2 linked regions of the Oryzias latipes genome follow. The protein of the gene in region 1 interacts with the protein of each later gene in a biochemical or structural test. Links are inferred from orthologs where the notes say so. Each region holds a gene or a part of one and is shown on either strand. Other genes may lie near its edges. The genes, in order: ccnb1 and zc3hc1.

Evidence for each region.
Region 2: of the proteins of ccnb1 (region 1) and zc3hc1, one has a biochemical effect on the other in vitro, tested with the Homo sapiens proteins (3 studies listed by BioGRID, with this or other methods). The link is inferred for Oryzias latipes from reciprocal best matches to the Homo sapiens genes CCNB1 and ZC3HC1.

What each region holds. Positions count from the first base shown.
Region 1 is NC_019870.2:25,679,519-25,683,438, forward strand, and holds the start of ccnb1 (G2/mitotic-specific cyclin-B1), read left to right. Parts: upstream 1-1,213; 5' UTR 1,214-1,301; coding exon 1,302-1,322; intron 1,323-1,561; coding exon 1,562-1,693; intron 1,694-2,181; coding exon 2,182-2,298; intron 2,299-2,779; coding exon 2,780-2,974; intron 2,975-3,047; coding exon 3,048-3,206; intron 3,207-3,343; coding exon 3,344-3,580; coding exon of another isoform or gene 3,581-3,640; exon of another isoform or gene 3,641-3,664; coding exon 3,665-3,805; intron 3,806-3,883; coding exon 3,884-3,920. UniProt on the Homo sapiens protein: Essential for the control of the cell cycle at the G2/M (mitosis) transition.
Region 2 is NC_019881.2:14,718,767-14,722,686, reverse strand, and holds the start of zc3hc1 (nuclear-interacting partner of ALK), read right to left. Parts: upstream 2,744-3,920; 5' UTR 2,718-2,743; coding exon 2,584-2,717; intron 2,155-2,583; coding exon 2,052-2,154; intron 1,865-2,051; coding exon 1,714-1,864; intron 1,627-1,713; coding exon 1,543-1,626; intron 1,424-1,542; coding exon 1,296-1,423; intron 1,109-1,295; coding exon 969-1,108; intron 878-968; coding exon 616-877; intron 329-615; coding exon 125-328; intron 1-124. Other genes in the region: klhdc10 (kelch domain-containing protein 10), read left to right, coding at 3,638-3,728. UniProt on the Homo sapiens protein: Required for proper positioning of a substantial amount of TPR at the nuclear basket (NB) through interaction with TPR.

The sequences.
Region 1 (3,920 bases):
TCAATTTCAAACCTGCTGATCCTCTTTGAGGTCACTGGATCCTTTGGTGAAGGCTGTACACACTCCAGATGGGTTACCAGTCCATTGCAGGGCCACACAGTCACAGACATTGTGAATCATCAATTAACCTAAATATGTTTGCACATGCCTGAGTGCCAGGATAAAACCCACACATGCTTGGGGTAAACTTGTAAACTTGACTCAGAAAAGACCCGGCTGGGATGTGAGCCAGGCCCTACTGAGGCAAAAGAACAAATCACTACACCACTGTTCTACTTTAGTAGCGAATACAGGACTAATGAGCTTTTTTGTAAAAAGAAAAAGATATATATATATGCATTCTTTTGCACGGAGGGATTCAAACATGTTTTAACATAAAAAATGACAATAAACTGAGAAAATCATTAAGTGTCAGAATAAAATCATTTTTAGGGCAACATTCAATTCTATTAGCAATAAGTGGTAGACTTTGAGTTTATTTGATTAAGTATAACTGAGCATAACAAGTATAGCCGGTATACACATGTAGTGTAGGGAATATACTAACTGAATACATCTATAGACTAAATTGGAACATTTTAAGTTTACTATATATACATTTATCTTCTTCCGTTTTGTACCTTTTGGGGTCACAGGGCTGCCGAAGCCTTTCCACATGTTACGGGCAAAGGCAGGGGACACCCTGGACAGGTCGCCAGCCCAGTCTGTCTAAGTTTAAAATATATAGATATAAAAAGTAAACTTCAAGTCCACTGCCTCACTTTTAGCCTACTTGAAGTGCATTTAAGGATACTAAATTTTGTTAACCCTTAACAGATTTTGTACTTTCTACTATACATACATCCAACCTATAGCAGCATGCTTGGTAAAATGATGCTCAAGTATACTTAAAAAATAAGCTTCAGTGTACTGTTTGTTTTTGTAAAGGATTGTTTTTGAGATCCTCTTGATTCTTCTTCTTTTTGTTTTGCGTTAAAAAAGTGTTTTCCTTGTTTAGATGCAAACAATAAAGTAGTGTATGTTTTTATCTACAAATGTTTTTATTTTAATAGCTCTAGAAGAACGGAGTTAGATATCCGGGTAAGGGAAGTGACCTAAGAAGAGCGTGATCACGTGACCCAAAGTTGTCTTGGGAGCGCATCTGACACGTACTCGTTTATCCAATCAGAATCGCCGCAGCCGCCCAGCGCAGCCAATCGGTTTGCAGCGAGCGAGGATTTAAACCACGACTCGTGCGTTGGAATCTTCACCTTCTCCGCTTCAATTTCGTGGTTGTTTGTGGAAGAGAAGCAGGCAAAGGCATGGCTCTGAGAGTTACCAGGGTAAGTCTGAACCACGTTACACGTTCCTCTCTGTTTTTACCGGAAAAGAACGATTTCAGGAAGCGCGTCTTTCTCTGGTTTTAAATGTTTTGACGTGTTTTCTGACTGGACTGTCATGTGGCTGTATGTGAGCGGAAGCTAGAGGTCAAATATTGTTGGCTTGAATTTATTGAACGTGCTGCTTCACCACTGCAGGTTTATCTCGAGCGCGCCTTGTTTTGTCCGTTTTCTCGCTGCAGAACCGACTGGCCTCCACCCGGGCCGAACTGGGCGGAAAGACGTGCTCGGTGGCCGGGCCTACACAGAAGCCCCGCGCGGCCCTCGGAGAAATCGGAAACGTCGCAGTTATTAACAAAGATGTCACGAAAAAGGTAAAATCTTTTTTTTTTTTTTTTAAAAATCCTATATAAATGTATTTTCCACTTATCGAAGTAAAGTGATTAACCTTTTTTTGGGGCAAGTTTGGTGTAGAAGTGAGGGGTTGGGCCTGTTCTGATGAGAAAATGTCTACTGTGCTGAACTGGGGCCCTTAGTCAAGTATAAAATGCATCCCAGGTTGGAGGAGCACAGTTAACCTGGAACTATGTCTAAGAATGTACACCATCAATTGTAAATTTAAATCTTTGCTAAAAAAACAACAACTTGAGTTTGAATGCACATTTGTTAAGAGAAACTCTTGTTACTGCTGTACTATCAGCTCAATGCGCAGAGCTTCAAAACCTGTACAGCTAGGACTTGTGGCTTTGGCCTGCAGCTGTAGAGATTTCCCAAACTGTGCAAGAAGCAAAGAACTCAAATGAAAAGATCCCAGCTCTGTAAAATGCATAGCAGTATTTGGGTTTGACCTTTCTTTCTTCAGACTATCAAGACGGAGGTTGCTAAGAAGACAAAGATCCCAGCTAAAGCTGAGAAGATCGAGCTACCAAAAGCTGCTGTGGTCCCTGTTAAACCAGCACCTGAAGTGCAGGTGACTGAGGTGAGTTGGTGTCATTGGTTGTCACACACCTGGTTGGGACATTTGTCCTGCGTGGTTGACCCATCCTCTGGGGGCAGCAGTGAGCTCCAGGCATGGTTGTGCTTCGGAGCCATATGGTGGGTTAACCACTCCCAATCCAACCCCTTACAGACCCACTCTGATTGTGGCCTCTTTCTTATAAAAGATTCATCTAAAGAAAATGAGATTGAAATTTCATTTCTGATTACTTTATTCAAATGTTGTGAATTGAGAAAAAAAATGCTGTTTGTTTGGATAAGGGCTTATTTGTGAGGTAGAAAATCCCACCGGCAGGTCACCAGCTCCCTTCTGATGTGTCCACTTGAATCAAGCAGGGAGGCTTTGGTTCCATCCGAAGTCTTTGCTGTGACTCCACTGGTTTTGAACCCTCTGCCTACCAGTCTTGGGGCAGACGCTCTACCACTAGGGTGACGTGTAATGATTTGACATGACCTTCTCACAGGTGCCAGCCCAGGCTGAACGTGCATCCCCCACCCCCATGGAGACCTCTGGATGTGAGTCTGCTGACCTCTGTCAAGCATTTTCAGATGTCATCCTCAACACGGCCATCAGGGACGTGGATGCAGATGACTACGACAACCCCATGCTCTGCAGTGAATATGTTAAGGACATCTACAAGTACCTCCGTCAGCTTGAGGTCGGACTAAAACCCGGAAAGCTGCATTCCTGATGTGTGCCGTTTCCCTAAAGAGACGTTTGTTCTCCTGTAGATGGAGCAGAGCGTAAAGCCAAACTACCTTGAGGGTCAGGAGATCACCGGAAACATGCGAGCCATCCTCATTGACTGGCTGGTACAAGTGGGCCTCAAGTTCCGTCTGCTGCAGGAGACCATGTACATGACTGTGGGAATAATCGACCGCTTTCTTCAGGTGAGTCTGTCAGTGTTCCTCTACAGACTAGATGTGCTCCATAATTCAATAAAAAAAAATAATTTCATAACAGATGTCCTCTAACTGACTTGTGTGCTGAGATTTTTCTTTTATTTTGTCTGCGGTCCTTTCAACAGGACCATCCAGTCCCCAAGAAGCAGCTGCAGCTGGTTGGCGTGACCGCCATGTTCCTGGCCTCCAAATACGAGGAGATGTACCCTCCGGAGATCTCAGACTTTGCCTACGTGACGGACAGGGCTTACACCACTGCTCAGATCAGAGACATGGAAATGACTATTCTGCGAGTGCTGAAGTTTCAGCTGGGCCGCCCCCTCCCGCTGCAGTTCCTCAGAAGGGCCTCCAAGATCTATGAGGTGTGGCGCGGTGTCGGTGCGGCAAACTGTTCTCTTCCACCACTGCATGTGCTGAGGTGAAGGTGGGATTTTATTTTTCTTCAGGTAACTGCTGAACAACACACCCTGGCCAAATACCTGCTGGAGCTCTCCATGGTTGACTACGACATGGCTCATTTCCCGCCCTCATTGGTGGCGAGTGCAGCTCTGGCGCTGACTCTCAAGGTCCTGGATGCAGGGGAATGGGTGAGTGACACTTGAAGGGTTTGCTCTCATCGCTGACTTGCCTGGGACAGCATTGGATATGAATGTCTTCCTTCCCAGGATGTGACACTGCAGCATTACATGGAGTACACAGCAG
Region 2 (3,920 bases), on another chromosome or scaffold:
CATCATTTAAAGTAAACATCTTGAAATTCAAAAATCTTACAAATGCTGATTCACCATAGAAAAAGACTATGAAGCATCCAAATCAAAAGCAAGACAGGAACTAAGAAGTAATGATTGTTCTTACAGGACCACCAACTGTTGAGAAGCACAAGCGTTTGGGAGGATGGAGGCTGGTGGAGCCGTCGGCCCCCGAATTATCTCCATGTCCTCGACTTCGAGTTGCAGGCCTCTTGCCCCTCGTCAGAGGACTTAGCAAGTCATCACTGGGGCTGGGTGAGTCTCTGCTTTTGGCTCGTAATGCAGTGGGGGAGGAGGAGGTCCCCTCAACCTGCAACAGAAAACAAAAATATGAAAAAGTCTGATAAAAAGGAGTTGAAGGATCAAAAGGGTTTTGGTATGGTGGGAGGCAGTTCATTGTGGCTCTTTACATTATATCCTCTAATAAACTAGAGATGACAATGAGGGTAGAATTTCTGTAATCACTTCCTACACCATCAACAGTGAGTTTGTGAAAATCCTTCTCCAAACGGGAGAAGAGGGTCATGTCTACTGAAGCAAATGTGGCATAGAAAAGCCTCAACCTTACCACAGAGCAACAAACACAAGAATGCTTGCCTGGTCGGAGCGTATGGAGTCCTGGCTCCTCAGCTTCATGCGGCATGGAGATGCCGCATGAGTGGACGAGGCAGGGTCTGCCTGGCTGTCGCTGCAGCCCCCTAAGACAGAACCTGTTCCATGAGCAGAGGGTCCTGCAGAGCTTGGTACCGTCTCTGCCTCACCTCCGATTTCTTCCATCTGGTGGAAATTCCACAAACCCACCTTCCGCATGCAATAGGAGCAGGTCAGGATTGGCAGGTTCATGGCACGTAAAGCTGGACTAAGATGAAAGAAATTTAATTTTGGACCCAAATTCCACCAAATAACCTTGTGTTTTAGAAATGCACCTTTTTTACTGAAACAACTCTCACCTTGCTGCCCAACCACAAAGAGAAACGACGCATGCAGCCACCTGAACAGACAATGGTTCAGAGCATGGACTGCATCCCTTTATTTTTAGCTCTTCCTCAATCAGTTGCAGTATATTACTGATGACATCCTCTGTCAAAGACTGGGGGGAAAAAAGACCACAAATAATAGCTGTTATTGTCTTGTTAAAAATAGTTCATATGTTAATAAAGCAATTTCTTTAATGAACCCTTAATGATATCACATTCCCTTGATAATAATTGATGTTTTTATCTAAGTCCTTCTGAAATTTAAGCTGGCACAAGTGTTCTTTAAATAAAGCCCTTTACCATAGACTTCAGCTGCTCTGGCCTCATGGCTGGCAGCTGCTGAGCAAGGAGACAGGCACTCTGGAAACGTTCCAAAAAGGCAGCAAGCAGCGTTGACGGTTCAGAGGCTGGAACAAGCCAGAATCTCTCTGGATAAACAGAAATACTTATATTTATTACGACCATCATGCTGATGGTTAATAAACAGACGGAGTAGTGGATTGTATGTTTGTTGTAAGTTTGCTCCAGACAAAATGGTTGCTTCTACCTGGACATGGAAAGTCAGGCCAAGGACAAAACTTCTCATGCTGAGTCTGTAGTTGTCTCAATATCTCTGCAATGCGGCTTTCATCTATTTAAAAGAACAGAACAGCTTGACATCTCATTTTGGCAGGCCAGCACCATTACCGTCGCCATATTGCTTCAAGTTTGAGCTTACATTTCTTAAAGTCTAACGTTGGTTGTAGTGATGCACAAAGGAAAGCCTGGCAGCTGGAGCACTTCAGCATGTCACAACCAACATTGATCCAACCATATCTGGCACACATCAGAGGAGAAAGTGCACGGGGTTTGCCTGCCCATCTCAAACAGTGACATATTAAGGAAAAGAGGACCCTAAATAATAGGCAGCTTGTGTTAGCAATTACAAATGTGTATTTTGATTATGTTTAAAAAACGGTGCATTTTAACAAATCACATGGAAGCAATGTATATATGTATTTAAAACAAAAAATAAACGTTGTCCATTAATAAATATATAATATGAAGGAAGGATATAGAATAGGATTCCACTCTTGAGAAAAATGCTTCTTTGTTTGTTGCTTCACACGGTGTTTGAGTGTTGTCTTTAACTTCCAGAACTTTTAAGTCCCCTTGTTCACTGAAACAAGACATAAAACATAAGTCCTTTTTACAAAACACAAAATATCCAATGGACCATTTTGTACACAATGTTTTCTGATCAATTTGCTAGACGGAAATAGTTGCTGTGATTCTTGTGGTTATTTTTAGCATACATACATAACTGCAAACTAACTGCTGGACCCCGGCTAACAACAGCTGCAGCATAAGGCTATAAAAACACATTTTTGAATAATTTATTTAATCCACATCATTGCAACCGTATGAGTACAGAAACTCGGGCTCGTTTGTCAAACTCTCAGCTCTGTGCAGACTTGAAAAACCCCTCCAGCAAAACTATGAATACGTTCGAGGTGAGATGCTAAGCTAAGACGTGGCTAACCCAGTCAGCTACCGTCAACTTAGATTTTTCCAAAAAAAAAAATAAACTGGTAGTTTAAAACGCCACCTGTTGGACCCAATCTCCGGTAATGATACTCCTTCGCTGAGGAGTTCACGAACTTTTTCCGGAGATGCAAAAGAAGACTTTAGGTGGTTAGAATTGCCGAGACGGTCCCCGCGACTGCCGCCGATATTCGCCATGGTCGGCTCTGACAAAAATCCCCAGAGAAACACATCCCGGAAAAAAGTTGTTCCGCTTCACCAGAGCCACAAACGCAGTAAACAAACAGGACATTTTTGGTGTAAAATCTTTGTCATATGCAGTTGACCGCTAGATATTTCAACGACGTATAAATGATATTATACAGGTACGTTTTATGTGGATGATTTTTGTAGAACATAGATCACATTGTCAGCAAAAGCTACCAGAACTTTCACAATACGCTAAAATTGTGACTCACTGTTGAACAAAACCAAAATAAAACTAATTTAAATTTAGATCTAATTTAAATGTAACGACGTTTGAGTATTAAAATTTAAATTTAGTGTTTACATTTAAAGACTTAGTGTGAGTGTTTGCAATTTAAAGTGTGAGTGTTTAAATTCAAACACTATATATGTTTACATTTATGTATGAATTTATTAAAATAATATATGCTAAATAAATTAAATGTTTTTATTCAGTAAAAACATTAAATTATTTCTAATTTGATTAATTTACTACAAATTAATTTAATAATTGTATTTGCATTTTTATATTTCTTCATTTTTTATACATATTTTTAAATTATAAGTTTACGTCTACATTCAATAAAATAAAATAAAATAAAATAAAATAAAATAAAATAAAATAAAATAAAATAAAATAAAATAAAATAAAATAAAATAAAATAAAATAAAATAAAATAAAATAAAATATGGCGGCAGTTCCGTTTTCCTGAAGACGCAACGTCCTGGTAACAAGCTCAGCGATTGGTCAAGTGTGTCACTGCCGGGGTGGAAAGAAAAACAGTGAATGGCTTCAAACCTGCCTGAGATGTGAAATGTTTCAGCAGCGTTTTGGCAGACGTGTTTTATATTCGACGTGACATCGAAGAGGACAGGGTTGTGAAGGGGACACGATGTCGGACGCCGAAAGGTTTCACTGTTCAGATCAGCTGAATAAATTCGAGAGACTGATTGGCAGGCCGCCGCACGAAGGGCTGCTAGCAGGTCGGTTCATAACATTAGCAACGATGCTATCAACCCTCTGTTTTGGTTTTTTCTTCGCACTTTTAAACCATTGTTCCGTAAGGAACATTACGTGTATATAATAATGGGTGTTTAATGTATTTTTGTAATTAAATTTATCTAATATATCTCATTTAATTTTATTTTTTTAATGTAATGTATACATTATGTATC